4 linked regions of the Rhinolophus ferrumequinum genome follow. The protein of the gene in region 2 interacts with the protein of the main gene of each other region in a pairwise test. Links are inferred from orthologs where the notes say so. Each region holds a gene or a part of one and is shown on either strand. Other genes may lie near its edges. The genes, in order: TOR1A, SNCA, ARFGAP3 and myomegalin.

Evidence for each region.
Region 1: the proteins of SNCA (region 2) and TOR1A interact in a two-hybrid assay, tested with the Homo sapiens proteins (2 studies listed by BioGRID, with this or other methods). The link is inferred for Rhinolophus ferrumequinum from reciprocal best matches to the Homo sapiens genes SNCA and TOR1A.
Region 3: the proteins of SNCA (region 2) and ARFGAP3 interact in binary tests that used the Homo sapiens proteins (3 or more experiments, as listed by UniProt). The link is inferred for Rhinolophus ferrumequinum from reciprocal best matches to the Homo sapiens genes SNCA and ARFGAP3.
Region 4: the proteins of SNCA (region 2) and myomegalin interact in a two-hybrid assay, tested with the Homo sapiens proteins (2 studies listed by BioGRID and IntAct). The link is inferred for Rhinolophus ferrumequinum from reciprocal best matches to the Homo sapiens genes SNCA and PDE4DIP.

The regions. Positions count from the first base shown.
Region 1 is NC_046295.1:78,213,218-78,220,400, forward strand, and holds the start of TOR1A (torsin-1A), read right to left. Parts: upstream 3,011-7,183; 5' UTR 2,902-3,010; coding exon 2,721-2,901; intron 2,069-2,720; coding exon 1,803-2,068; intron 1-1,802. Other genes in the region: C12H9orf78 (splicing factor C9orf78 homolog), read right to left, coding at 4,696-4,787, 6,135-6,233, 6,339-6,475, 7,160-7,183. UniProt on the Homo sapiens protein: Protein with chaperone functions important for the control of protein folding, processing, stability and localization as well as for the reduction of misfolded protein aggregates.
Region 2 is NC_046288.1:43,471,570-43,479,538, forward strand, and holds the start of SNCA (alpha-synuclein), read right to left. Parts: upstream 3,012-7,969; 5' UTR 2,938-3,011; intron 2,457-2,937; 5' UTR 1,798-2,456; exon of another isoform or gene 1,793-1,797; intron 1,786-1,792; exon of another isoform or gene 1,647-1,785; intron 912-1,646; exon of another isoform or gene 788-911; intron 307-787; 5' UTR 282-306; coding exon 161-281; intron 1-160. UniProt on the Homo sapiens protein: Neuronal protein that plays several roles in synaptic activity such as regulation of synaptic vesicle trafficking and subsequent neurotransmitter release.
Region 3 is NC_046293.1:5,520,885-5,527,969, reverse strand, and holds the start of ARFGAP3 (ADP-ribosylation factor GTPase-activating protein 3), read right to left. Parts: upstream 3,017-7,085; 5' UTR 2,926-3,016; coding exon 2,857-2,925; intron 1-2,856.
Region 4 is NC_046305.1:49,320,721-49,327,912, forward strand, and holds the start of myomegalin, read left to right. Parts: upstream 1-4,174; 5' UTR 4,175-4,893; coding exon 4,894-6,018; intron 6,019-7,192. UniProt on the Homo sapiens protein: Functions as an anchor sequestering components of the cAMP-dependent pathway to Golgi and/or centrosomes.

The sequences.
Region 1 (7,183 bases), on a different chromosome or scaffold from region 2:
GAACCCCACCCCATCTGATTGCAAAGCCCCAGTTTGATTACAATTCCTGTGCTATGAGATGTCACACTGCTGCTGTGGCACTGACTTGCTGGTCCTTTGTCATTCAAATGGCAATGTTAGCACATATCCTGTGTACACCAGCCTTCTAGGAAGAAGGCAGAGACAAACTTATTCTGGAGAATAGCCTGGAGAAGTTTCTCTCACTTTCCGATGGGGAAAGTAAGAAATGCAGGCTCCTTTAACGAGGCAATTGAACCTGAGAACACACGCGCTTTTGGCACCAGTGCCGTCAGCTAACTGACACTCTTGAGTTTCTAGAGCAATGCCTGGCGGTTTCTGAAATAAATTGGTTGAAACAGAAACATTCCATAAGGATATATTTAGATACTTCTTACAACACTAAGCAATCAAGGTAAGGAGAAAAGACCCTTTTAATCAAAATTTGAGCAATGGTTCTATATATACTGCTTTCCTAGACCTCCCCTCATCCCCAAGGTGGAGAAATGAGCTGTTTTCTGAGGAAGACTTTGGACGTTACAATGTACATCTTGATTTTTTATGGCTTTGGTTTTTGCTTGGCTACTATGACCACGGTTACAATGTTCCACGTGTACAAATCTAACCTAAGCAGTAATTCTGTTCTGTAGGCATGGACTAACTAGCCTCTATTTAGAGAGGAGGAGCCTCCGGAGAACTGAAGCAACTTGTGTGAGACCCCAAAGTGAGTCACTATTTAAACAGGGATTCGCTCAGATCTGCTAGGCTCCTGAGCAGCCAAGGTTTTCTCACTGTTACCCCAATTTTCAGGCAGTTAACAGAGAACATGTATTGAGTCACTGTCCTAAGCACTGTTCCCGTAACGTTTTATTGTGATCTCTCCAAATGCATGCAAGTTGTGTGCAATAGAATGCTATTGCATTCCCTGTTTTACAGATGAGGAAATTGAGACACAGAGAGGTTAAGTAACTTGCCCAAAGTCACACAGCTACGTAGTGGAGCCTGAATGCTAACTAGGATGACCAACTTGTCACAATTTGTCTGGAACTTTCCCAGTTTTAACACTGGAAAGCCCACATCCTGGGAAACCCTGGACAGTTGGTGACCCTCACGTTCCCCCAAGCAGAAGGGAAAAATGTGTTCGCATGGGTGCGGGCTCAATTTCTGAGCGTCTTGCCCACTTCACAGGTTTGTTACATGGATTAAAAAAGACGATAGTTCACTCTTACTTGAACACTCATGTGCCAGCCAGATCCCATGACACACACTTGACAGAGCTCTCTGAATTCTTACAACCCTCATTTTACAGATAAAGAACCTCAGACTCAGAGAGGTCAGGTAACTTTCCTGAGATCACGCAACTGGTAAGGTAGTTAGGACTTAAGTCCAGGTGGGTTGCTGCCAAAACACAGGCTATTCAGAGTTAAACTGTAAAAGGAGTTTGCAACACTGCAGTTAAACAAACTTAGGCCTCTCTAGAAACGTGTCCTCTGCAAAATGAGTTAGATTTAATGATCTTTAAGCTGGATCTGATCATGTCCATCTCTAAAATCCTACGACCTCACTTACTAAAATGAGAATCACACTGGGCCTATTTCTGGAAACCATAAAGCTTTGACAGTGTAACTAACTACCCCATGCGTCTCCAACCCTCTGTAACTTCCACACCTCTCAAAGGGGAACTGACACACGCAGCCATATTCAGAGCTCACTCATTTCAACATGCAATTCTCAGGTCTCACCCCACAACCAAGATACCCCCTAACCCAGCACCATCCAGGAGGGTTCTGAAATTCTGCCCTTGCCTTATACAGGGTGATGTTGGAGGCATGTGGAAAGTGCAATGTGGCCACAAACAGGTGCACAAAGTTACTGTTCAGACCACCCTCGTAAATATTCTCTGCGATGATCTTGCTGACAAAGTTTTTGCCAGTGCCAGTCCACCCGTGTAGGGAGAGGGTGAGAGGTTTCTTGGGCTTCGGGTTGCTTATGAAGGCAGACACGGCGTTTAAGATGACTTTCTTTGCAAGATGCTGTCCAAAGAGCTTGCTGTCCAGATCCTTCTGCAGCACTGGGAAAGACAAAGCCAGTCATGGAGGGGTTGGGGGGCACACAGCTAGCAAAATTTAGCCAAGTTAACAGGCTCATGTGAAAGCCAGCTAAGCTCTTCAAGCACCTTATGAAATAATGAGGTATGTAAGCACTTGGCCCAGGATGGCAGGTGGGTCCAGGAGGCATCTCCTCTGCTAGTGCTGCCCATTCCACAGCCCTGGCAGGAGCCTAGCTCCTTCCTGAAAAGGACCTTGGCTCCACTGCTTCTGCCACCAGCGTGCACCCCTCACCCCAGCTCTGCTCCTCCTGCCCCAGGGCCGCGCAGGAAGAAGGCTGCAGTTTGGCCACCACGGGTCCGCACCAGGAGGTCCCGCACCATCCTTCCGGTCTCCAGCCAAGAAGGCGCAAAACTCTTTGGAGGGCGTTTACAGCTGCCACACCCCCCGTTTCTGCGGGAAGCAGCCCAACCCGCAGCTCGCCTCCTGTTGTCGGACCGAAGTCCAGTCTGTCCGCGGTCGTGGCCCCACCCCGCACCCTCCGGCCCTCGGGTTCCGGGTCCCGGTTCCGCGTAGCGGCCCCGCTGGCCTCAGCTCTGTCCGGGCTTCTGGCCCCCGAGGCCCGACCCCCGCCTCTGACCCCGACCCCAGCCCCCAGCCTTCGCCCCGTCCTACCCTCCCGGCTGAGGCTCCGCTTCTGGCCGCAGCACTCGGCAAAGAAGCAATACAGGCGCGGGTAGGAGATGTAGCCGGTGAGGACGCCGGCCAGGGCCAGTCCCAGGCTGATGGGCTCCACCGCCTGCACCACCACCGGCGCCAGCAGCAGCAGGCCCAGCGCAGCCCGGCCTAGCTTCATGCCCGGACCCGCGCCTCCGTGCGCGTCCCGAGCCTGCCACGGGCCCGCGCTCGCGCTAGACCGCGCTTCCGGTTCCTCCCGTGTCGCCGGCGCCCGCCATCTTTGTGAGGGGCAGAGCCCTTTGCTGCTTCCGGGAGGTGGGCGCCGGAAGCCGCTGGGGCCACGTTAGTGTTTTTAAAATAAAATTTAAGTTTTAGATTTAGAGAAAAATAGAGAAGACAGTACAGAGAGGTCTCATAGTCACCACCCCTCCCCACATGGTACAGTCTCCCCTTTTAACAGCTTACATTTGTATGTTACATATAAACCTAGATTGATGAACCTATATATTGATATACAACTAAAGTTTGTTCAGACTTCCTTAGTTTTACCTAATGTCCCACTTCTGATCCAGGATCCCATTCAAGACACCACGTTATATTTAGTTGTCATGTCTCTTTGGACTCCTCTTGGCTATGACTGGTTTTCAAACTTGCCTCCTTTTGATGATCTTGACAGTTTTGGGGAGTACTGGTCAAACGTTTTGTAGGATGTGACACTACTGGAATCTGATGTTTATCTCGGTTAGACTGGGGTTATGAGTTTTGGAGAAGAATATACAAAGTGCTATTTTTATAACATTATATCAAGGGTATAGACTGTCAACATGATTTATGACCATTGATGTTGAAATTCATCACTGGATAAGATCGTGTTTGTCAGTTTCTCCACTGTAAAGTTATTTGCACTCATTCATAGCTTTGAAGCCTGCCTATGTGTCACGTTATGGACTAGACCCTGGGGATTCAAGAAAACAATGAGTAACACATAATTCCTCCCTTCACCTTGCATTCTAGGGGAGGGAAAGAAAAATGAAAAAAAGGTCTCCATTTTACAGATGAGGCTCAGAGGGAAAGGGATTTGTCCAAGGATATAATAATAAGCTGTGAGCAGAGCTCAGATCTGACTCCAAACCAAACTTCTCTAACCACAACGCCTACTCTAAATCAGCCCACAAATCAACCGACATGCTCTTTCCTCATCCTGAGCTATTTAAATTCCTCAGAAAAATGACAGCACATATGGCATCATACTTGACAGCTAACAGGTTGGGGCCTATCCATGTCTCTTGAACTAAATGAGAAGATCTGTCTCAGTAACTCAGTTTTGCATTGGAGCTGCCCCACCCCTGCACACTGAACACATTACCTAGTGTTGGTGTAAGGAGACACAATACAAACAAAAAGGTTGGATTCATTTTACATTTAATACTTAAGTGCTGGAGATGATAAAAATTATTTTCTTTCTTATTGAAGAGAAACAGGTAACTTTGTAAAAGTCAGAAAATACCAGTGTCCCTTTGATGCTATCCTACATTTTTCACTGTCAGCTGGATCCACCGTAAACAACGAAGGATGCATCTCTAAACCCTATTCCAGATATTTGAAAGTGGAAGGCATGATTATATATACAATAAAAGCACAATTTAAAGGGTATTGTATCTCACCCTGAACACACCGCTGTTTCCTCCTGACCCAGGGCAAATATTAAGAGGAAGTCAACATATTTACAAACAAGATTTAATAATGCTCACAAGAACAGTTTGCCCCCAAATAAGAAAACTACGTATTGTTTTGTTTCAAAAACAAATCCAGCAAGTAAGCAGCTGGACTAATAGAATCTGTTTTGGGAACTGTCTGCTAGCAAACGATCAGGTTTCTGACCAGGAAGGCTTTTATCATGGGGGGGAAAAGGGGGCGGGGAGCAGTGCTATTTATTTACACCCCATGCTGCACGTCTCCCGTTTCGCCACCCTCAGTACCGTCTGTTCATCTTCTTGAACTTCTCGTAGTGATAGTCATCAGTGGCCTTCTCATTAGCGGGGCGCTTGCGGTTAGGAGGGGACCCTGGGAAGGCAGAGAGGAAAAGCTGTTTGCCACGCTGGAAGTCGCCGATTGGCTTTAGCTCCACAAAGGAAAGGACCATGCCTGTCTCATTCCCCACAGGAGCCCCAGTGCCTACCCTAATAACAGAAACGGAATAGGGCCTCAGTAAATACCTGTTACTGAGTGAATGTGGTGAAGGGCCAGCCAAAATATGCTGACGTCAGCATTAGACTGGTGAACAGTAGTAGCTACGCTTCACTGAGAGTGTGACTATGTACCAGGCATGGTGCTAAATCCTTTCAGACATGACTTCCTTTAACCCTCACAGCAATCGTAGCAGGGGCATGTTACCATCTGTGCTCAGAGGTTAGGTGACTTGTTCAAGGTCACTCAGAAAGTGGAAATAGGCTGAGAGTTGAACCCAAGTCTGGTGACTCCAAAGGCCTTGCTCCCCACATGTGAATCACATGAAGCTCTTTGGGAATCAAAGACCCAAGGTATCAAAGACCTTGGTTTTGTAAAACCAAGATGTTACAGAAAATAATTTCTCAAGGAGGAAGGAAGAAACAGAGTAACAGCCTCAGCAAATTTTGCATTTCCTTCGAATCATCCCACTGTTGATAAAAAAGATGAGCCCTCCTGGTGCCGGTCAGCTTGTGGGAAGGGGCACTGTCGGATGCTGAGAAAACACATGAGCATCACACTTCTAGACTATCGGCTATCATTTGGCGACTTATTAGAATGTAGCCTACGGACATGATGTCATCAAGAATGACCACCGAAACACTGTGTAACAAAGGAAAAGTGAGAAACCACCTAAGTGTCCAACCAGAGGTAAACGGATAGACTACAGTGGATCTGTCTATGCAATGGAACGTGACATGGCCAGTGAAAAGGAAAGTAGGTATTTACTGTCATGGACAGACATGCAGGGTGCAGTAGTGAGTAAAACGCTATGAGACCCCAGTAAGTGTATATACAATGTTTCCTAGATGTGTGAATATTGAAGAAGTCTGAAAGGTTATACATAAAAACGTTAACAGTGGTCATCTTTGGGTGGTGAAATTATAAATAACTTTTATTTTTGTTTATTGAAAATTTTCTAATTTTGGGGGTCTCTTTTATATTTGACAGCCCAGTGAGTCCTCAGAGCAACCCCAAGAGGTAGGTTTTATTACTCTCCCAATTTTATAGATGAGGAAATTGAGGTTTGGAAAGGGGAAGGCACGTGACCATAGTCCAGAGCATGGACTGAAACCCAGCTGCTCTGGCCCCAAAGCCAAGCTCCACCCCTACCAACTTCCACCCCCTCCATGGGCCCTGAGCAATGTGACCGCTCCAGGGAGCCGAGGCCTCTGCTGTACTCACGCTCGGGCTCCGGCTTCTCTGTGTCACCCACTCTCAAGGGTCGGGCTTTGGGCTCTTCTTTGTTTCTCCGAATGGGGGCATTGAGCTCCTCGTGATAAACTGGACCAAAAGAGATCAGCGGACACGTCAGACAAAAAACATGGGAAGCAGGGGACCTCAAACCAATGGGCGCAGGAGCGGGGCTGCTTCCCCAGAGGAACTTACATCGGTTGTGCTGCACGTAATTCACCGCCATGTTGGTGGGCACGAAAGATGTCTCACTGTCCTTCTTCTTGTTCTGTTGCTCTGCCAGGAGACGGGCCTTGGCATCCTCCGTGGAAATGATATTTTTTATTTTAGCACTATGGGAAGAAAGGAGCCATGCCACGCATTAGATCACCACACCTCTGGTCCTCAGAAGGAAATGCACGGTGAGACTGGCAGCCTACCACTGCAGGAGGAAACCGTCTTTCTTGGGGCCTTATGGCCACATTCTCAGGGAGCTCTCACAACTATTGGAGAGGTGGGGAGTTATCCTCTTCTGATCAAGAGGAAAGTGAGCCTCCAAGTAAAGTGAATGGTCTAAGGCTTGAAGCCAGAAAGGCCAGAAAACAGGCAAGAACTCAGAAGTCTCCCAACTTTCTACTACACCCAAAGATGTTTCTGACCACTGTATCTCCTCCACAGGCATCCCTTTCAGAGCAGATGTTCTGTAGTAAAAAAGATAAAGATTACGGGGTGGCTAAGTCTTTAACATTGCTCCTGCTAGAATAAAACAGAATACAAGGGCCTGTGAACAAAGGCTAAATAAAAATAAACACTGTTGCTTTCAGCAGTCAGGGTCCCTAAGTCTCTTTTACGACTCTGACCAACTCTTCAGAGAAATTTTTGGGACCACCATCTCAGCCCACCAGAGAGAATACAGTTTGTGTAGGTTTCCAAGGAAACAGGTAAGAAACAGTCCCCTCAGCTTTGAACTGGAAAGCAGAGAGCTCTTCCTCCAGCCTAGGGGCAGGGGAGAGGTAGATCGTGGGTTTGAAACATACTCGATGCCCAGGTCCACCTCAGGG
Region 2 (7,969 bases):
GCTCAAACATACACAGTCACATATCTCTGACTCAGTCTATCCTTTTGACAAGTGATGAAGAAAAAATGAATCAAGTGAGAAATACTACCATTGAGAGCATCAATTATCCTAACCCATCAGTCATAAATAAATACCAAAATGGCATTTGGGGCTTACCTACCTACATAGAGAACACCCTCTTTTGTCTTTCCTGCTGCTTCTGCCACACCCTGTTTGGTTTTCTCTGCAGCAGCCACGACTCCCTCCTTGGCCTTTGAAAGTCCTTTCATGAATACATCCATGGCTAAGGAATTCCTTTACACCACACTGGAGAACACAAAATGCACTTTGAATGAGAACTTTTGGGTAAAACAAAACAAAACTATAACCACCCAAAGTAAAATCCCCTGAAAGGTCAGTAAAACTCCCCAAAGGGTGAGACTCTTTTAAATGTACCCTTAGATAATGAAGTCTTTTTTTTTTTTCTTTTTTCTTTCAGCTTTTCCATAACAAATTTAGCACCCCTATCCATCTGGGCTAGTAAAAGTCTAGCCGCCTAAACATGGTTTAGGATGAATCATCTCAGCTGTTCTTGCTGCATTTCCAAAGTGGAGGTGCATGAAAAGATGGACCCCTCTTTCAACTTCCCAGGGTCCAAACGGTGGCAGTATAAAGTTAGAAGTACGTTTAGAAGATAGATCACAGGGAAAGAAAGGGAGCTGGGGGCATGGGGTCAAGGACACTTAAAATGAATCCAAGAAGAGGGCTAATAGGTTGACCAGGGAGAGCGGGGAAGAGACCTACTCACCCTGGGTGTGGCTGAACCTCAGGCCCTCTGAGAGCCCACCCGCGGTCGCTCTAATCCACAGGACCATCCACCCCCGCCCTCAGCTATCTACACGGAGCAGGCGCCTGTTCACACCCGCCGGCAGCCGAGAGACTCTCGCCCGACACCGGAGGGGGTGTTCTCTGCGCGCGCGTAAACCTACTCCCTGCCTCGCACCTGTTAACCCCTTACCACCTGTTGACTTGTCCGATCTGCACTTCCATTTAATTATTTGCCAAACACAGGTAGTTGTTTACTGTACTGAGAGAACCGTGAGGGCGTGCTGGGGTGTTAAAAGATAAGAGAGAAATAAAGTTGGATGCTCACGCTCCATCCAACATCCTTGCGTTTCCCAAAGGAAAAGCGATTCCCTGAGAAGCCTGACCTCTCAGCTTCTGAGGACAAGACGAGGGAAGTATGTAAAGCTGGAGGAAAGCCTGGTCACTCACTTACTTTCTTCAAGCGACCAAAGGGACATACCCATCTCCTAAATTAGATAGAACGGGTCCTCTCTGCCTGCAGCACCAACCCCCTTGCCAGGCGTCCTCTCCTTGCCAATGACTCCTCTCCCACCAGGTGTTCTCCAGGCTTTCCAAAGCTGCCCATTCAGATCCACAGGTACTTATCCGAGTCCCTCTGTTCCTCAGAATTACGATACCACCCCACACCCCGTAAAAAAAATTTAAACAATTCCCAAATATTATTTAAATGGAAAAAGGGTGGGTAAGGAGCGCACGGGAAGGGGCGAAGCGGCACCAGAAGAAGGATGGTCCCCAGAGGAGGCCGCTGTCAGCACAACCCAGCGATAAGAGGCCAGGGGCATGGGAGGCAACCCACGAACCTGTCGTCGAATAGCCACTCCCCGTACCCCGCACAAGAGGATCCCAGAGAAAGAGATAGAGGGATGGAAAGGAAGGCGGGGAGAAGGCACGAAGGATGCTAAAGGCAAGGCTGGGCCCCCAGGTCGGCGCTGAAACCAGCACACACCTCACCCGCGTCCCCGCGCTCGCTCGGTCACTCGCCCCCTTTCTCGGGTCCGTTCGTGTCGTCGCGGTCTTTCTCCTCTTTTTCCTCCTCCTCCTCTTCTGCTCAACGCCCCCGCAGCTGATTTGTCAGCGCCTCTCCCCGCCCCTCTCCTGCCTCTCGCTGCTTTCCGCGCTGCCTGCACTTCACTCCTCTTCTGGATGGGGAGGAGATGGGGTGGGGGCGGGGGGAATGCTGTACCTTCAGCTCCTGCCGCCCGCCTGGTCCTGGGAGGCGGGAAGGTGGGGGTGTTCTGAGCTTCACCTCAAGTTCAGAGTCACAGGGACTCTTGGGGCGATCCGGAGCCGTTAAGCTTGGCTGACATCTCTCTACCTCTTTCCCTCCCCTGTCTCTGCCTTTCCTTCTGGATCCTCACGGGGACCCCCAGGTCAGAACCTACCTGGGGGCGTGGGGGTCTGAGGGATCAACCACCAAAGATAGAGCCAAGCTCTTGGGGAGCTGCTGAAGGAGACAGCTCAAGATTGCTCACATTGGCACCGCCAAGAGCACGTTTCCCTCGGATCGCTGAAATTTGATTAATGAGCGTAGGACCCAACGTTAAGGGTGCTTTTGCTTAAATATCCGCTATTTTCGTTTGCTCTGAACCTTGCCTGTACCCGAAAGGGCCCTGCGGGTAGAGAGGAGACAAATAAGGAAGAGTTACAGGTTGAGGAGGCAGGAGAAGGCTTGTCAAATCCTCTTCCCACTCCACTATCACCATTTTCTTTTCCACCAATCAGGGGCTGCCAGACGCAGGTTTTCCCATCAGCTGAACAAGGAATAAATATTCCTTAGCCGTCGAAACCAAGTGGTCGTAAGGCTTTTAGACATCGAAATGGAATTTACTTTGAAGACTCAAGTGCCTGGTGCAGGAGACAAACCTAGCGTGGTTTATGCTCCTGAACCATTACATCCAATTTCGTCTTCGATCTCTTCTGAAACCGCGATTTTACACACCACTCACCTTTCTGACACCTGATTCACGCTGTCCTCGGAGCTGACACCCCCCCTCTCCCAACACACACACACACACACACGGAGACACACAAACACGCGACAAACCCGCGCAGGCTTCAAGACAATTATTGCATTGCTCAATACATTTTCACCTCTTTCAGAGCTGGAGGGAAAAAGCTGTTCCCGGATCACACCGAATGGAGATCCAAGCTCCTCCTAACAGAATGTCTTTGCTTTTTTTTTGCCTGGTTGGGAGGGTGATTTTTAGCACTGGAAGGGAAAAATAAGTCTTTGCGATGCGTTTTTATTTATTTATTTATTTATTTTGTGGGGGTGTGTTCTTTCACCCTTGCACTCACTTGTGTTTGAAATCTGAGTAAAATGCAATTTAAATCTACAAAACAACCATTTGAAACCGAAAGGGACAGGAAGCAAGTATACATTATTGATTAAACAATTCCTTGCATCACTGGTCTACCCTTTTTAAAAGTAGCCTTTCCAAAACTCTCCTGTTGTTTCCTTGGGGTCAGAGAAAAGAAGGTTAAACTTGAAAATTGGTTTGTTGTCTGGCTTTGAGACTTTCTACAAGTTTTGTCCTCTTTCAGTTTTCTTGTAAATGAGGAGTTAACCCAAATAACACTTCTCTTTTTGACCTTTTATTATGGAAAATGTTTAAACATATACAAAAGTAGAGAAAATAAAAGACTCTCTTGTGAATAGCACCCAACTTCCACCATTTTTCAATTTATGGCTAATCATCTGTATGCCTGTCCACTTTCCAATTTTTATCACTTCTCCTTCTGCATTTTTTACTAAATTCCAAGAATTACATATGTCTGTTTCATCTGTAAATATTTCACCATGCATCCATGACAGATAAGAACTAAAAATGGATAACAATAATGTTCAGATGGTCTTTTTTTAACTGAAGTATAATTTATAGACAGTGAAATGCTCAAATCTTAAGGTCTTCAAATTAGTTTTGAAAAACATATGCATTCATGTAGCTCACACCATTTTGAAGACAGAACAGTTTCACAACCCCAGAAAGTTCCTTCCTGTCCTTCTTAGTTGTACATATTCAAGAATTTCAAAAATGGAATCCTACAGTATGAAGTTGTTTTTTATATCTGGCTCCTTTCACTCAGCATAATGTGTGAAGTTCATTCATGTTGTCGCATATATCAGTAGTTTGTTTCTTTTTATTGCTCTTGATTATTATTTTTTTTTTATTACTGACAATGATAAATGTTTTCCACTGTGACCCATCACAGCTAGGTCCCTTGATAGACTGTTATGACAATTATTTAATATATTATTTCATATGACATATTTATAGTTTAACAGGAACCTCTGAAGGGGAGAAAATGACTGATATTTTCGGCCCCACTGCAGACCAATGAGAGAATTATTTTGAGCAGTCGTTACTTTTTTGTCTTTGTTATAGGACAGCATGATTCCAAACCTTTAAATTGTACTTGGCAAAGGACTGATGTACTATATTATTTAATCATAACAAGTGGGTTAGTTAAGTTTCATTATGTATGTTTTATAGACGGAATCTGAAGCTAAAAAATTTTCAGTAACAGAACTAGATTATCTAGTTCTTGAGTAGCAGAGCTGAGATAATCTAGCAGGAACTGTTCCAGAAGGCACATTTGTCTCCAGAATTAGCATTTACTCTCTGGAACCTTACAGATGGGTTATGTTATCAAATGGGAGGGAAAAGGTGAGATCCAACTGTGTTAGAAATAACCTTTAAATTTGGATGTGACAATGGAAATCCAGGAGAATTTATGTTATTATAAAACAGTGCCTTCATATTTGACATTTTGCCTTTTCTATATTGGTCATTTTCAGCAGGGGGAGATGATTCCTCACAACCCCCACACGCACAAAAATGCAAAACAATTTTTTTGTCATTTTAAATTACAAGTTTATGTTTCACTCCTCTTTTCGCCCCTTAAAGTGCCTTGAACATAGTAAGCAATCAATAAACTTTTAATTACTAATAATATTAATAGTGACATTATTTATGTTCTACCTGTAGTCTCTTAGCTCTGTATTCGTAAAGCGGCAGAACTACTCAAGAACAAAGAAGGGAACTGACTGCTACTAAAGATTTTTTTCATCATTGATTGATAGCATGGCCTTGAGTAAAATTTTAACTCTCTGAATATAACTTTGAAAATAATCTTATTGAATGGCCTGTACCTCATAAGGGATATAGAAGAATGATCTATTGGGAAATATTACTAATGTGTACGTCTTGTTAGTGTACATCATACATGATTGGCTTTCTCTTTGACAAATGAATTCTAAATATTTTGCTACTCTTATATAGGATTGTTGTATTTGAGTTTAATACAGTAAATTAGTTACAGATTAACATTCTATGAAATGCATAGTTAACCTAAACTCTCTTTGTCTTCTCATTAAACACGGATTTTTAGGTGTGCCATGTAGTAAGCTTGTGCTGCAATGAAATGATGTGAAAAATGAGGAATCTGACCGAGTGATTAAAGAGATTTTAATCTGTTTCTTATCTTCTCTTTGCACCTTCCTCTCATGTTATGCAAATGTATGAAAAATATGAGGTAGTGAGATCTTGGTTGGCTCCCTTGTAATTTCCTAGTAGGCATAGAGGGGAAAGCCTAATGCATATAGTTGGGATGGCATTGTGTATGATTTTGGAAAGAGGCTGAGCTTGAAACAGGGCAATAGGGTTACTCGAAAGAGATATAAAGAGCAATGAAGAGGGAGTATAGCATTCAAAGAAGATTCTCTAGTTTGACACCAGGGGCAACTTCATGTTGTTGTTACAGTACTGTTGGCAGCACAAAATAATGGACATTTATTCTAGCATAATATGGTTTATCATATTTATTAATATGATAATATTAATATATCCTCAACAATGTAGAAATTGTGACCACAGGAAAGTGCCATGCAAAGTATGTAAAATTAAATTGTATATCATTTTAAATATCCCTGTGCTTTTTGTGGTACTAAAGCTATGAGGACATGCAAGAATCCAAGTTAAAATCTTCAAAGTCAGACAGAAGAGATATTTAAATATTTTAGGATCGAAAAAGTAGAGATAAGTATTAGAAGGAGAAATATATTTATGAGTTCAAGAAACGCACTACAACCTGGTGAACATGGTTGACTTCTAAGAGTGGAGAAACTGCATACAAGTTAAACTTGGTATCACTAATCCAGAGCAAGTATCTAACCTCTCTAAATCTCTAATTTTCTTATTGACAAAATGAGGATGACATTTTACTTGTGTGATTGTTGTAAAGAATAAATAATATAGTTTTAGTAAAGAACAAAGCACAGTGGAATCTGTCGATACAAGTAGTTATTATCTAGCCCCCCATGTTTTAGGGTGCCTTAAGAAATACTTTTTTCATTGTAGTAGTTTTCAACATTTTCCCATCCCCCCCCCAACCTCCCATCTCACCCTAAACACACTTAAGTTCTCTAATGCCTCCTCATCAATAACTTTGGCTTACTATGGTATTAGGTAAAACATTTCCCACCATGGATGGAAGTTGTGAGGAGATAGTATGGGGGGATTCAAGGAGCATTGATAGGAGTCGTTAATATAAAATCTGCCCAAAATCTCTTTTTTCACCCTAATATGTGGTGTGGGGACAGAGCCCCAAAAAGCAGTTTCCAGGCTCTCGGTCTCACATAGAAAGGTGGTGGCTCAGGTAGTAAATGGCCATCGACTGTGATCAAATGGCCAGCAGCTGTGGCTAGTTGGTCGTCAGCTGTAACCAGTGAGCCATTAGCTATGAATATAACTGCGGTGGCTAGTCTAGCAAAAAAAAGAAAAAAAAGGGGGAGCTAGCAAGAAGATGGTGGCTGAGTCTGCAAGCGGCACAGTGAGGGTTGAGAATTGTGTTGCTCCTGGTTCCTGTGTCTCCAACCCAGCCGCCAGTGAGAGTATAGTGGTGTGACTCCCCTACCTATGGCTCCGTGGGTGTTCCTGTTTGGCCTCACCATGTCCTGCGTTCTTGTGTGGGGAGTGGGACCAGAGACCCCGCCTGACACCCCGCACGACACTTGGCGTAGTCGGCAGGATCCCCTGCACTACATGTGGATTACAGTAACATCATTCACAGCAGATCACATCAGTAGCCCGAAGAAATATAGTGACAGTGGTAGAATTAATATTCTCTATCTTTATTGACAGTTTTATATTCTTGGAGCCTGGTTTCTTTAAAGGCGCAGTGTAAGAGCTCTGTATAAATTCTGTTGATTTGCCGAGGGAGCAAAATAAAATGATGTAACAAATGGTGTTCCAAGTTTGCCAGACTTGTGACAGCAGCTCTAAAAAGGCTTCAGAATGAATATCCAATTCAGAGATAAACTCAGCCTCTAATGTTCCAGGTGAGTGAAGAACGGACAGACTGATAAGACAATGACAGATCTACTTCTGCGTCTCAACTGCATTTGTGTTCAGAAAGGCAGAAAATAAATGGATAAAAAAACATTTCAGGGGAATTTATAATGATTTGCGCAGTGTTTTGGACCGAAATAATGCCTTTGCCAAGAGAGAAATCATAGGAAACTAATAAAAGGAGCATGTTCCATATAATATCAAAATTATCCAGGCGTCTAATATATTTTCTCTACAGATAATTTGCATATGCAGTGGCATTTAGATATTTTCTTCCACGCTATTTAAAAAGCATATCATTAATGTTTTGATAGCTTGTTACCACACATTATCATTGAGATTAAGAAAGGGAAATTGTTCAGAGAAGAAATTGTTTCTTAATGGTTATTTGATAAATACTTTAACATCAAAAACTATCCATGTCAATGAATACAGATTTGTGATGTCATTTTTACTATAAAACATTACATTGTAACATATATTTAATCAATTGTCTATTTTTAATTTTTATAAACATCACTTGAGTTAAATTTCTCTGATTATCTTCCCAAAAGTGGGACAAGAACTTGTCTATATATTCAGTCTAATAATTCTTCATAAATATTTAAATATTATTCATGAGTTCCTGTGGGGACAGAGCCAGGAGCGCAGTTTCCAGGCTCTCGGCCTCACGTGGAAAGGTGCTGGCTCAGGTAGTAAATGGCCATCAACTGTGATTGGATGGCTAGTTGGCCATCACCTGTAACCAATGAGCCATTGGCCACTAATATAAC
Region 3 (7,085 bases), on a different chromosome or scaffold from region 2:
TGAGGTCGGGAAGCAGTTAGAAATCCAAGCCTGGCTCTCACACACCGCCTTGATTCTCCTGCTCGCAGGACACTGCGCTGAGAGTGGGACTGCTCTTTGTTTTCATACAAAATCCCAAACCCAAGTTGAGACATGCTTTTCTAAGCAGAGTATTAATTATTATGGTGACGAAAAACAGTTTTGACTAACAATTTGTTTTGCCTAATGATGAGAATAATAATTGCTATAGAAAGAAGCTAATATTGACTGTTTACTCCCTGTCAGGCACTGTCGTTGGCCAATCAAATCTTCAGAACAACCCTATAAGAAGGTACGGTTGTCGTCCCCATCGGGGCCCGCTTCCTGGGTGTGTGTGATCTGGGCCCCGTACTCAGAAGGGCCCATGACTGCTTCACGTTCTCCTGTCTCATCTTGAAATTCTTAATACTTTTCAAACAAGGGCCCTGCATTTTCATGCCAATCAGGAAGTGCAGTTTTGACCCCCATTTTAGAGAAAACTAAGGAATTCTGAAATTAAGTATCACAGCTAAGAAGGGGTATCACGGGGACCGGACCCAAGGCAGTCTGCGCCCCGGCCCCCTCTTCATCCATCATCACACTGCCTCTCACACAGCCAGCAGCCTTCATCCTTCACCCACCGGACTGTGTACTCCGAGAAGGCCGGAGCCTGTCTCTTTATTCAGGGTACATCAGTGTACCCTCAATGCTTGGCACGGTGCCCAGCACACCACAGGTGCTCAATGGATATTTGTTGAATGAATAACTTAAGGAATCAATATAAAACTAAGGAACAGTATAGCTTCAAGGTGGGATTTTACAAACTAGAAAGCTGACCCTTAAGAGTTAAAACCTTTGGTCCAGAGTAAATGGTCATCATACACGAGAGGAAGCAATTGGACACCACATTCTGAAAGTAAACCGCCTTGTTTTTCTTTACCTACCTTTCCTGTCTCGTGTACCTTACAGCTCCTTTTCAGAACCCCATTTTGAAAATGCTTCGTGTCCTACAACTCTTCCACATCTCTAAAACTAGTTTTCATCTTTGTTTAGGTAATGGTTTCTTACTAATGATCGAATAAAAAGTCTTAATCAAAAAATGTAACACACACCAAAAAATGTAAGAAATGTAACCATAAAATGTAAGAAAATGTAATCAAGAAATGTAACACACACAAAAAAATGTAGTGTGGAACATTACCAGAAAATATTTTTGCTCAATGCTTTTATTAATCCCATTACAGCATATAAAATGTTCCACAGGTGTGTTATTCATAATAAAAATAACAATAACAAAAAAGAGCTGATGTGTATTGAAGACTAGTATACGGTGGTACTGCTCTAATTGCTTTTCCTTGATTTTCTCAAATATTTAATCCTCACAATAACCCTCTGAGTCAGATCCTGCTCATGTCCCATTTTCAGATGAGGAAAACAAGGTACAAAGTCGTCAAGTAACCTGCCCAAGGTGACACAGAAAGTAGCAGGGTCCTGATAACAATTTATAAGCAAGCCACACGTGTCCCTCAAAGTGTCTCTTGGTAGAAAGGCACTGACTTCTTATTTGAAAAGGGCACCTTCCCTTTGAAGAATTCAAGTTACAGGAACCACTCTTTATAAACGGGTCAATCTAAACCTGAAAATCAAGAAACTAGCACAGAAATCAGCCCTGGAGGATTCCTGGAGCCCTTCTCCTCCTGACTTTCCTACCTCCATCAGACATCACTTCCAATAAAGGGCTCCCTTTCTGCAAAAGGCTGTAGGCTGCAAAATGATGCGCTCCCCTCCCCCATCAAGACTTAAAACAAAGACACCTAAATTCTGTAAAACTCAGGAACTTTCTCTGCCATCACGTCATGGCTCCTGTGACCATGCTCCTTAACAGCTGTTCACTTTGGAGGCGACCACGGGGAACAGACAGAACTGTCACAGGAAGGGAGGGGAGAGTCCACACTGACGCGACAGCCCTTTGCACTCTCCAGGTTCCACGCCGACCTGTGATCCTCAGCGGAGGGTGTCACTTTAGCCCGATGTGTCATCACATCTCCAGCCAGTTTTGAAAAGTTGTAAAAGTCACGGGGGCGGGGGAGAGCCTCTGGATATGGCAAAAAAAGGAAACCCCCAATCTCCAAAGAGACCCAAGGGGAAGAAAGAGAAAGGGTCTGTGTGGGCTTTCTTAGCAAGAGAAAAGAGCTGGAAGCCACTGCACAGACCACTTGGCAGCTTTATCAGAGACACTGACGCTGCCATCAAAGGACAGAGGGAACCAGGCAGGCTCCCGCAGGCGCCCCCGGGAGAACTTTAGAGATGAGTTCACGAGTGGGGAAGGGAGCGAGCTGAGTTTTCCAAACGCCCAGCGCTACCAGCTGGAGTTCTGACCCGCTGCGTGCTTCCCAGCTGGGTCACAGGTGGCCTGCGGTGTCGCCCTCACTCGTAGGGACCCCGGGTATCCTTCTCAGCTCTCTCGGGGTCCCCGATCTCGGCCCCAGCTCTCTCAGGAACTCGACAGTGTCCACTCGGCCACCCCCAAAGCCGCCCCCGCCCTGGCCCGGCTTCCGGAACCCACAAGTGTCTGCCCCCGGCCCCCAGGACCCCCCAGGTGCTTTCGCCTCCCGCCCCCAGGACCCTGGCCGCCGCCCCGCCCGAGTCCCTGTGTGCGACCCTCCCCGCCCCTTCCTTGTTGAGACTGGGGGGCGGCGAGCGGTCCGGACCCAGGAGAGGCCCAGCGGCCGCAAGTGCGACGTGTCACAGCCCAAACCGGCTCCTCCTCCCACTGCCGCGGCCACTGGCGCCGCAGGGGCGGCCCGCGGGGTCCGGCAGGGATGCCAACCAAACCTGAGCGCGCCCGGCGGCCGTTACCTTGTTGGTGGGCACCGAGCGGAGGCGCTTGAAGATGGTGAGGATGTCCTGCTTGCTGGGGTCCCCCATGGTCACCAGAGAACCGAGGGCGCAGCTGGCCCCTACAACCGAGAAGGGCTGACAAGGAGCGGTTGCCGCCTCCCGGAGCTAGACGACGGCCCAGGGGGCGGGGCTTCGCGTGACGGCCAGGTCCCGCCCATGGCCCCGCCCACAACGGAGCGCACGCGCCGTTCTTCTCTAGGGTGCCTCGCTCCGCTGTGCCGCTGGCTCCGCCCACTGCAGCCCCGCCTCCGGCGCTGCACGCGCGTGCACAGAAGGCTCGTGCGCGTTTTCCAGGTCCTCGTCTGCCGTTCGTGCAGGGCAGTGGGTGGCGAACCTGAGCTTGGGTTGGGTTTCGTCCCGTGCGCGTGGCCTTCGTAACGGACTGCTTCCGTGGCCAAGGTCTTCTCACTTCCATCCCGTAAGTGCGGCAGAACCAGTCACTTGAAGTGACAAAGGAGGAAACCTGGGAAAGGGCCTACCCGCCGTTTCTGACAGAGGACTGGAGTCTGGACGCAGGGTTTTCACTAGTCCTTGTCGACTGGCCTAATCATTCTCCAGCTAATCCACCAAAAGAAAACGGGTTTATTCGCGAAAAGAAAAAGAAACGGAACCACCCAGAAGTGCCAGCACACTTGCAGCCCGGACCGCCCTCCGGCGGCCCACGTGGAAAAAGGAACCCAGCGTCAACATGGCTTCTCCCTTTGTTCGCATCCCTCCCCGGGAAATTGCCACAGAGTTCAACAGGAAGTCCAGACCAGAGCCAACAAAGGGCCCGGCTCCACCCACAAGTCCCTCCAGCTCCGTGGTTAAGAATCCTAAAATGCCAGTTCACTTTCATCATCCCCTTTTTCTTGCCCTGGGTAGGGAGCTTTCTACGCTGAAAATTGGTTTTCTCTAAATATCAGTTTGGGTCGAAGGTCAGTGAGAGAGAGCAGTTGTCAGGAGGCAAAAAGTGCTCAGTCAGAATCGAATACAGACGAGAAGCAGCTCAACGTTTCCAGCACCTCAGACTGATCTATACCCGCTGGCTAACATTACTCGCTAGAAGGATTTAAACTTGGAGGAAGGGGTTTCTTTTACAAAAGTGGGTGTGGAGCCACCAGAAACTGTTGCCTGAGGTTGGGTGGTGCAAGGAAAGATAACAGGTTTTGGAATCAAATGCAATACCTTGGCACCAGGCCCAGTCCTGCCAGCTACTTCTTAGCTCTGTGATCTTGCTCAAGTCACTTCTGTTCTCTGAAGCTTGGTTTGCTCATCTGTACGATGGGGTTAGAGATGAAGAATCCGTGCTGAGCAGCACAGGAGAGCAGCTGCCCAGAGAGAAGCCCTGGAAAAGCCTTTGGTGATGGTCTACTTTTAACCTATCCGGTTACATACCCTCGGAGAAGTTGAAAGTTTGCCAGGACTAGGATGGAACTTTTCCAAGGAAGAGAAAGTTATTACCTTCCAGAACAGTACTTTATTTTTGCAGACAGCTATGACTATTTGAAAGTTCTTCCTTCCACTGAGTCCAAGTATATACCCCTGTATTTTGTGTCTGTTGGTACTAGTTTGGCCTTAAATAGAAAACCTGGCATATTCATGAACAGTCTTCTGATGGGGATGATGGTCCCATTTACTGTTTGGAGCTGAAATCTTACTAAGTTATGTATCAGGTTAGGGCAGGGTGTGTTTACTCCACTCTTCAACACAGAGATCCCTTCGGAGAAGACAAAAAGTACGAGGAAGTATAGATAGTGTCCACACGAATAAGCAGGTGTAAGGGAAGGGGAAAATACCATCACTGTCTTCTCTCATCTGCTTACGTGTTCTTCATTGAACTTATTGCCACCTGATACTATAATACGTAAATATATTTGCCGCCCTTCAATTGAATATAAATTTCATGAGATCAGATCTATTTGGTCTACCTCTCTAACCCCAGCACCTAGAACAATGCCTAGCGTGTAGAATGTATCCAACAAAGATTTGTGGAATGGGCTTAGAAAGTATAAATGTGTAAAGAGCGTCACTCCCAATATCATAATGAGAAAAAGCCTTGCATAATCTACAAAGTCATACCTTCTCTTGAGCCCATCAGATTGCTGAGGTTACAAAACAACCAAGTAAACTGACTTCCAAGAGAGACAAGCCTCTCCAAAAAGAGATGCACACGAGAAGTCCTTAGCTTTGGCAGAGCACAGGAGAAAGGTGGCTGCCATGCAAGTGAGTAAGAGGAGGTCACCTAAAAGTGTAATGAATTCTTAAAGGCCAGGGTGGCTGTGTGGCTCAGTTGGTTAGAGCACGAGCTCTGAGCGGTAGGGTTGCCGGTTCGATTCCCACATGGGCCAGTGAACTGTGCCCTCCACAGCTAGATTGAAGATAACCAGCTACCATTGAGCTTCCGGAGGGGCAGCCGGATGGCTCAGTTGGTTAGAGCGTGAGTTCTCAACAAGGTTGCCGGTTCAATTCCCGCATGGGATAGTGGGCTGCGCCCCCTGCAACTAAGATTGAAAACGGCAACTGGACTTGGAGCTGAGCTGCGCCCTCCATACTAGATTGAAGGACAATGACTTGGAGCTTATGGGCCCTAGAGAAACACACTGTTCCCCAATATTCCCCAATAAAAAATTTTTTAAATATTCTTAAAGGTGAAATGTGAGCTAGCATTTGGAGTAGTTAGGGCGCCTCCGACATAAAGGGAGTTTATATTCATTCACAAGCTCTTTTCCATAAACCTGTACCAGAAATCTTTCTTCATAAGAAAGATGGAGACAGAGAAACCCCTTGTGGGGCAGGCATCCAGCTGTTGAGGGACAGGCACAAACCCCCACATACTTCTAAAAAGCAAAAGCAGCAAACTCTCCTTCAGGTGACAGACAAATATCCATTTCTGCCACAGGAGGAATAGAAGCAAAACCTCGGAATACCAAGTCCAAAAGGGAATAAGAAATCCTCTCTCTCTTAAAGAGGGTAAAGAGACAAAATTTCACTGCTGCAGGAGGAAGGATAAAAGCAAAATTCCTCAACCCCTGGGGGAAGTTCAGGAAACTCTTTGGGTTCAGAATCCTATACCCATACCAAACTGAGGTTGGCTACACTGGAAGAGGGGGAGGAAACTTCCAACCAACACCAACCACAGACACCATGACAGGTTTACTGTCATCAGAAGGAAGGCAGGAATGTTGAGAAAGTCCTATCCCTGAGCCCCAGGCCCACAGGCCTAAGACAGGCTGGACCAGGTCACCAGAGAACCTCCACCCACACGTTCTTGAGCCCAGCCCTAAGTACCAAGCAGCAGCAGTCTACCACAGGGCGGGACAAGAGCGACAGTAAACAACTCTAGGACCCTAGCCCGTACTGTAAGCACAAGGTTACATCCTGTGGTGCACTGAGGGTAAATAGAGCAACAACAAAGCCAAGCTTAACTCCTACCTAAATTAATGCAATCCCCACACTAATAACCTGACAGAAGTGGGCCCTTTTTTAAACTGTAAATACTATTTACTTCCGACGGTATTTTTGTGCATTAGGGTTTCTCAACCTCAGCACTATTGACATTTTGGACTAGATAATTCTTTGTTATAGGGACAAAATCGCCCCTGGTTGAGGACCACTGTTCCGTACTCAATGTCCAGTATTCAAACAAACAAACAAAATTATGAGACACACAGAAGAGCAAGGAAAACAACTATTGTCGAGGAATAAAATAATCAACAGATTATAGGGCCAGACTCAGAGAAGCTCCAGATGTTAGAACTGTCAGAGAAGGACTTGAAAATCACTATGATTATTATGTTACATAATCTAGTGGAAATGTGGGCAACATATATGAAAGAATAGGAAATTCCAGCAGAGAGATGGAAAGTACATGTAAGTCAAATGGAAATACTAGAAACAAATAACAACGAAACCTCACAATATCAGACATGAAGAATTCCTTCAATGGCCTTATAAGGAGACTTGACACAGCTGAGAAACATGGAAAAGATCTACAGAAATTATCCAGATTGAAATACAAAGAGAAGGGGTGGGTGGGGAGAAGAACAGAACATCTAAAAGCTGTGGGAAAATAGCAAACATTTACAGTCCCACAAGGAGAAAACAGAGAGAATGGGCAGAAAAATTATTTGAAGACATAATAATGGTGAGTATTTGTCAAAACAAATGAAAGTTATAAAACTATAGATCCAGGAAACTCAGAGAAC
Region 4 (7,192 bases), on a different chromosome or scaffold from region 2:
ATGTCATAACTAAGGCAATGAAAACCTAATAAAACTGGCTTGAGACATGGGGATTTTCCACATCTCATTCTCTTGGAAACTCCTTCCTCACCCAGAATTAGGTCTTAGAAACACTACAACACAGAGGGTACAAAAGTGGCTAAGGTTCTAAGAGAGCCTTCCCAGGGCTCCATGATCTGGAGATCAAAAGAGAGATAGTGCAAAAGATCCTGGCCATACTAATATTTAGGAAGTTTGTTCCAAATTAGTGATAATTCTCTAACGTCAACACTTTTGTAAGTAGTTCTTCGTTGATGGGTTTTCCCATTTATCTGCAGAGTGTCTAATCTTTTGACTGACATTTTACTGAATACAGTTTAGGATTGTTTTAATTCAGTGGTTTTCAAAGTGTGGCTCCCAGACAGCAGCCAACAGCAGGATTTGGGAATTTATTAGGAAAGCAAATTCTTGGGTCCCACCCCAGACCAACTGAATCAGAAACTCTAGTAAGTAGGTCCCAGCAATCTCTGTGTCTTTACAAACCCTCCCTGATTCCAACGTACGCCAAAGGTTGAAAACAACCGTTTAAATTCAACATTTGTAGATTAGGAAATTAAGGACCAGTTATTAGTGATTTCACCTAGGACATACAGCTAACAAGTGCTTGGGAGTGCACTCATCAATCCATTTTTGAGGGCAAACTGCTGATATAGCAAATGAATAATTTGTTTAATTTATAATAGTTTGTCACAATATGAAACCTGTTCTCAAATTTTCCTTTCTTATGTACCTTTGATACGTTTTAGAAATAATCATCCTATTCTAAATGATCATAAAATCCCGAAATCTCACCTTAACAACATGGCATGCTTCAATCGTAACTGTGTGGTGTGCACAGACATATAATAGTTTCCAAAGCTCATATGGATAGGAACCATAAAGTTTTGAATGTGCAATTGGGCCTTTTATAGAAAGAGTTCTAGATTCTTCTGGGTTCTAATGTATCTTCTCAATTTTCAAACCTATTCTTATGATAAAGTGGGGTTTACTTTCTACCAAAGAAATCCATCAGATAAAAGTTTATGGGTAATATATATTTTTATATTTATATACCCCTTTTTATCTTTCTATAAATTGAACTATACCAACATGTATAAAATCTACAAATCTAAGAGTTCAGTATATGAGCTTTGATGGTTGTACACATCCATGTAACCATCACCCAAATCAAGATAAAGAACAATTTCATCACCCCAGAAAATTTCTTTGTACCCCTTTACTGTCAATTCTCACCCTATCTCGTCCCCTAAAATCACTTCCTGAATTTCTCGCACTATAGATTCTTTTTTTGTTGTTGTTAGACCTAAAATAAATGGAATCTCATGGGACGTATTGATGGGTATATGACTTGTTTCATGCTTCATTCATGTGGGCATCAAAGTTCTTTCTTTTTTATTGCTGGTTAGTACTGCATTGTATGAATATATGAAAATGTGTTTTTGCTTACCTTTTTCTTAGTAATAATTTTTTTTCTTATCACGAAAGCAATACATGCTTATTATAGAAAATGATAGAATATCAAGGAGGAAAGACGAAAATAAGCATCCATAATTCCATTCTCTAGACATAATTGCTGTTTAATAACTTGTATATTCCCTTTGAACCTTTGTTTATATGTTGTGCACATATATGTAATATATATAGTTATCACGTTACAAAGATTCTCATTTTAGGTTCATGTTTTACTACTTAGACTCTGATACTCGTGTGTTAAATTGGCTCAGTTCTTAGTTTTTACTATAGAATATTCTCTAAATTTAAAAAAAATTAAAAAATAATAGACGACTACACATTCATGGCCAAAAATTCAAATGACACGTGGTATATAGAATAAAAGTAAATGTTCTTGTTGAGCCCCACCCCCTTTTGCTTGCCTTCCCATACGTAGCCAGTGTTAACTAAATACAAAATCTTGACCAAGATGACATTCGTGAGGACCGTGAAATGCTGAATTTATTATCTCTTATCTTAATTTTTAAATTTAGTATTACAGTTTTCTTCTATGTTTTATTTTTCAATTTTTGCGTTCAAGTTTTGCTGTCTACACACCAGTGATCTTTTAGTTGGGATGAAATGATTTTATAATAACAAATGATTATGTTAGGACTATTTCTAGTACTAAAGTTTACTATCCATTTTGAAATATGGTTTTTACATATTTTCTCTAGGAGTGAATAGAGTGCTAGCTTCAAATTTTCTTTGATTGAGTGATTTATTCCGATCTGTTGTTGAAAGCCTCGATATGTATAGCTCTCTCTTTTGGTATGTTGATCTGTACTTATAGCAAACAAATTCTCCAATGGTAAATCGCCTTTTCTCCATTTATACTGATTTGCACTTCTACACGAAGCTGTCTATATACTCATTCAAGTTTAGAGACGCTCGGCCAGATGCACAATTTTATTAAGGAACAGAGAATATTACAAAGTATTCTTTAGTTTGCTCCTGAAAAGCACTTTGTTTCATTAGCATTTTCACCCCCTGGGAAAACGTGGCTTGCATTCAGTCAGAGATGAGGCTTGATTAATTTGTTAGGAAATTTTTGAATTTGCACTTTTATGGAGTTTTGAGTCCTTGCTGCTGTTTAGGACAATACTTAAGACAGCGTCAGCAGGGTCGTGTCCTGTAGGCCAGAAACACCTTGCCTCTCTTTAGATCATATAGATTCCAAAGACTGTTGTTTAATTTCTTCTGACTTTAGAGTTCCTATACCTAGAGGCAGGCAAAAATGCAGCTGAAATGAGTTTTACTCTTTTTCTCGTCTTTGGTTTGAGGGCCAGAACACGCAGATTTAGGTGAAATCACATACGCAAAGTTTTGGAGCCTGTGAAGCCCCAAAGCTCTAAGGACTGACCTGTCTTCCAACGGAGCTACTAAGATTTTTGTTTTGGTGATTAAAATAAATGACAGAACAGTACAATCTTATGTGTGTAGAGCCCCATAAAGTTTTAAAATTACTTTAAAATAGTCCCTTTATTACAATATCAAAATAACAGTATTAAATATTAAATATTAAATATTAAAATTACAGTATTAGCTATTATTTAAGGAGCTAAGCATTGTTACAAAGTACTTCCCCTAAATCATCTCATTTAACCCTCGAGACATTTGGAGGCTTTTATGAGCTCTCACTGAAGGCATTTGAATGTCTCCAGGCTTAGGAATGTGGGTTCTGTCTTGCAGATGAGGTTCAGCAGTGCTTAAATACTGTTGTTTGCCTTGACCTCTCACAAGGTCAAGTTAGTGACATTTAGCATTATTGTCACTGGGAAATGTGCTCCAGGTGATTGCTGGGTCGGTTTTTCTTCCTGTTTGGTGTCTGCCTGCCTCTCAAAGCCAAGAAAATTCTTTAAAAGTACATTAACACCTGGATCCCTCCTGGTCAGAGCTCCGTGTTCCCTCCAGTGTTTGCTTGCGCCCAAATTCTACACCCAAGGTTGGGTGACTTACAACTGTATGGTGGTGAATAAGACATGGTACTAACTGAAGTCAGTGCAATTCCCAGCCCTAAGTCTGCACAGAGCAGCACGGCCTCACACGCTGGACGCTTTTGTTCCAGAGTCTGTCTACCCTCTCCACCCCTCAAATAAGGACTGTAGTCTACCTGAACCTGAAAGAGAACTGGGTGACGGTAATCTACTCTCAGGTGTCTACATTCTTGAAAAAGTCCATTTTGTCTGCTATTATCTACAAAATCTTGGTTAACCAGCTGCATTCACGTGGTATTTCCGGGACTCTTTCTCAGGTGACTGCTTTGTGCCTTCCCTTGATTTCTTTTGTTAAAAAAAGGGGGGTGGGCGCAAGTCATCAGAGTGCTAAAACCCACCACCCACACCCTCCAACACTTGTCTTCTTCTGTACATACTCCGGATAGCCGAGGGAGAGGTAGAACGGAGCCTCCTTAAATCCGCCCTACCTGCCTCCTCTGGTTTAAGAACCCTTTCTCCCCGCCGGCCTCTGCAGCCGCAGGGCCTTTTAACGCAGGCACCGGCCTGGGGAGGGAGAGGAGGTGGGGCCGCAGGCGGGAGGGGAGCGGCGCGCAGCGGTACCTAGTGGCGCGGCGCGGCCCGGCGGCTCCATCCGGAGTACGTGGCACTAGCCGTGGGGAGAGAGGGAGGGGATTCGGCTTTCTCTTCCCCACGCAGCGCCTCGGGACATCCTGCAGGGGCGACAGTGAGGATCCAGGAGGGAAGTGGTGCGCTTTTTCGGTGGAATCTCAAACGATGAAAGTGGCCTGGCGGTAGTCAGCGTCCGCCCCGCATTCCCCTGGGTACCCACTGTGAGCCAGGTCTGTGTTCCACCGCGAGGAGCGGTGACCCGATTGGGGGGTGAGGGAGACGCGGTCGCCACCCCGCATGCGCAGAGCGGGGGTGCGGCCTCCAGGACTACAGTTCCCAGAGGAACGTGCGGGTGGCCGCAGGCGCGAGCCGCTGGCGCCATCTTGAAATCTGATCCTCAATCTCCGAGCCTTTGCGTCAGCGGCCGGCGGCGGCGAGGGGACGGCGAGCCCAGCCCGCTAGAAGCGAGGACGCTGAGGACGCGGCGGCTGGCGGGAGAGACAGCTGGCGGAGACATGGCAGGTTCCGAGCGCGGCCTGCGCGGCTGTCACTCAGCATCCCCCTGAGGCGTTTCTCCGCCCGCGCCCTCCCCGAGGGGCGGGGCCGACCACTCTGGTACCCAGAGCTCGCGCGCGGGGCTCGGAAGAGGGGCGCCCCTGCACCGTGGGGACCCCCCGGGGCTGTGCCATGCCGGCGGGAGGCCACCGAGGCGGGAGACGGAGCGCAGCCAAGCGCCAGTGAGTGATCGCCGAGCAGCGGGCGCCTCAGGGAAGCGCGGCAGCCGCCGGGAGGGAAGATGAAGGAGATTTGCAGGATCTGTGCCCGGGAGCTGTGCGGGAACCAGCGGCGCTGGATCTTCCACACGACGTCCAAGCTCAACCTCCAGGTTCTGCTTTCGCACGTCCTGGGCAAGGATGTCTCCCGCGACGGCAAAGCCGAGTTCGCTTGCAGCAAGTGTGCTTTCATGCTCGATCGGATCTACAGATTCGACACCGTTATTGCCCGGATCGAAGCCCTTTCCATCGAGCGCTTGCAGAAGCTGCTGCTGGAGAAGGACCGCCTCAAATTCTGCATTGCCAGCATGTATCGCAAGAATAACGATGACCCTGGCGCGGAGCCCAAGGCGGGGAGTGGGACGGTGGACATTTCCGGCTTACCCGACGTGAGGTACTCTGCATTGCTGCAGGAAGATTTTGCCTATTCGGGGTTCGAGTGTTGGGTGGAAAACGAGGACCAGATCCAGGAGCTCCACAGCTGCCACGCTTCGGAAGGCGCTGGACACCGTCCCAGGAGATGCCGCGGTTGTGCAGCTTTGCGGGTTGCCGACTCTGACTATGAAGCCATTTGTAAAGTGCCTCGGAAGGTGGCCCGAAGTATCTCGTGCGGCCCTTCTTCCAGGTGGTCCACCAGCATTGGCACTGAAGAACCAGCACTGTCCGAGGTGGGGCCACCGGACTTACCCGGCACCAAAGGACCCCCCGATGGCGAAAGCATGGAGGAAGGGACACCGGGATCCTCAGTGGAATCTTTGGATGCAAGCGTCCAGGCTAGTCCTCCACAACAAAAGGACGAGGAGACTGAGAGAAGCGCCAAGGAACTTGTCAAGTGTGACTGTTGCTCAGATGACCCGGCTCCCCAGCCTGTGTGTAACCACAAGCTGGAGCTAGCTCTTAGCATGATTAAAGGTCTTGATTATAAACCCATCCAGAGCCCCCGAGGGAGCAAGCTTCCCATTCCGGTGAAATCCAGCCCACCTGGAGCCAGGCCTGGCCCTATCATGACAGATGGAGTTAGTTCTGCTTTCCTTAACCGGTCGTTGAAACCCTTTTACAAGACACCTGTCAGTTATCCCTTGGAGATTTCAGACCTGCAGGAGCTGTGGGATGATCTCTGTGAAGAATATTTGCCACTCCGGGTTCAGGTATACAAAATGGCTACATCGTGCTTCTTTGATCATAGTTTTCTGGCCCCCAGGCTTCACGTGATTTCTGTCTAGGTGAAGGTTAATAATAGTCTAGACTGAAGGATATTATTTCTAGAATTAAGAAAATAATCATTGCACCCATTTTTGTTGCACCTTTTGCTTGTGTCCCATTTAAATGAGACCCAGTAAATGTGTCCCAGTAAAGGAGATTCACATTCAATTTGCTTTTCATAATCCTCTTTGTAACAATATTGGCCTTCCCATTCATTATCAAAACTGCAGACCTTTCAAGACAAAAAGATAAAGATTTCTAATTCACGTTTACCCAATGAAAAGACATATAATCTTACTTCTGGCACTAGAACTCTTCCCTCCTTCCCCCTTCTCACCCCCTTTTTTGTTTTGTTTTCGTGTTTAGATTTGTAGATGTTTTCTCTCATTCTGTAAGGGAGTTAGTTCTCCCTGAAACATTAAACCTTTTATCCCCGATACGCCTCAAACAGATTAGAGCATAGGGTAAAGGTTTGGGGAAAACCTATTAATTCACCAAAATATTGTAACATGTGGACAATATTTATACAAAAGTAATAGGTCATTTGAGGACTAATGATGACTTGCTCATAAAAGAGACTTGGGAATTCAAGGGTTGTCATTTAAAATGTTAAGGCGAAAACTGTTCCCAGCCCGTTAGTCTATTGAGCTTCTTTAGGAGATGTGTAATGATATTAAGAGAGGATTCATCCATTATTGAGTGATAGGAAAGTTTCATCCATTATACTCTCTGAATTTCTTAATGACCAGGATATGGCAATTGATCTTAGTTTGAGCTGTTCATATCTGCCGAATTGATTTCGTGCCAGCCTTTTAAATTCAGCTATATACAGGGACCTGACAGATGCTGTTGTGTTTCTATAGCAACAGTAAATGCTAGGTTCAGTTAACTTTGTGAAACATCTGGTATGTTCTACTTGATACAAATTCTTTAGTGATACCTTTACAAGGGTGGACAATCTAGAAGGCATTTTTGGAAAGCCTGCTAAGGTCAACATCATCCTAGAAATTTAGAGCTAGGTAACAAATGAAATTGTAAAATTGTATCCAATAAGAACTTAAGCAGAAAATGGGAGACGTTTTTCAATTTACACAAAATTGTCAGAAACAGCGTATGTGA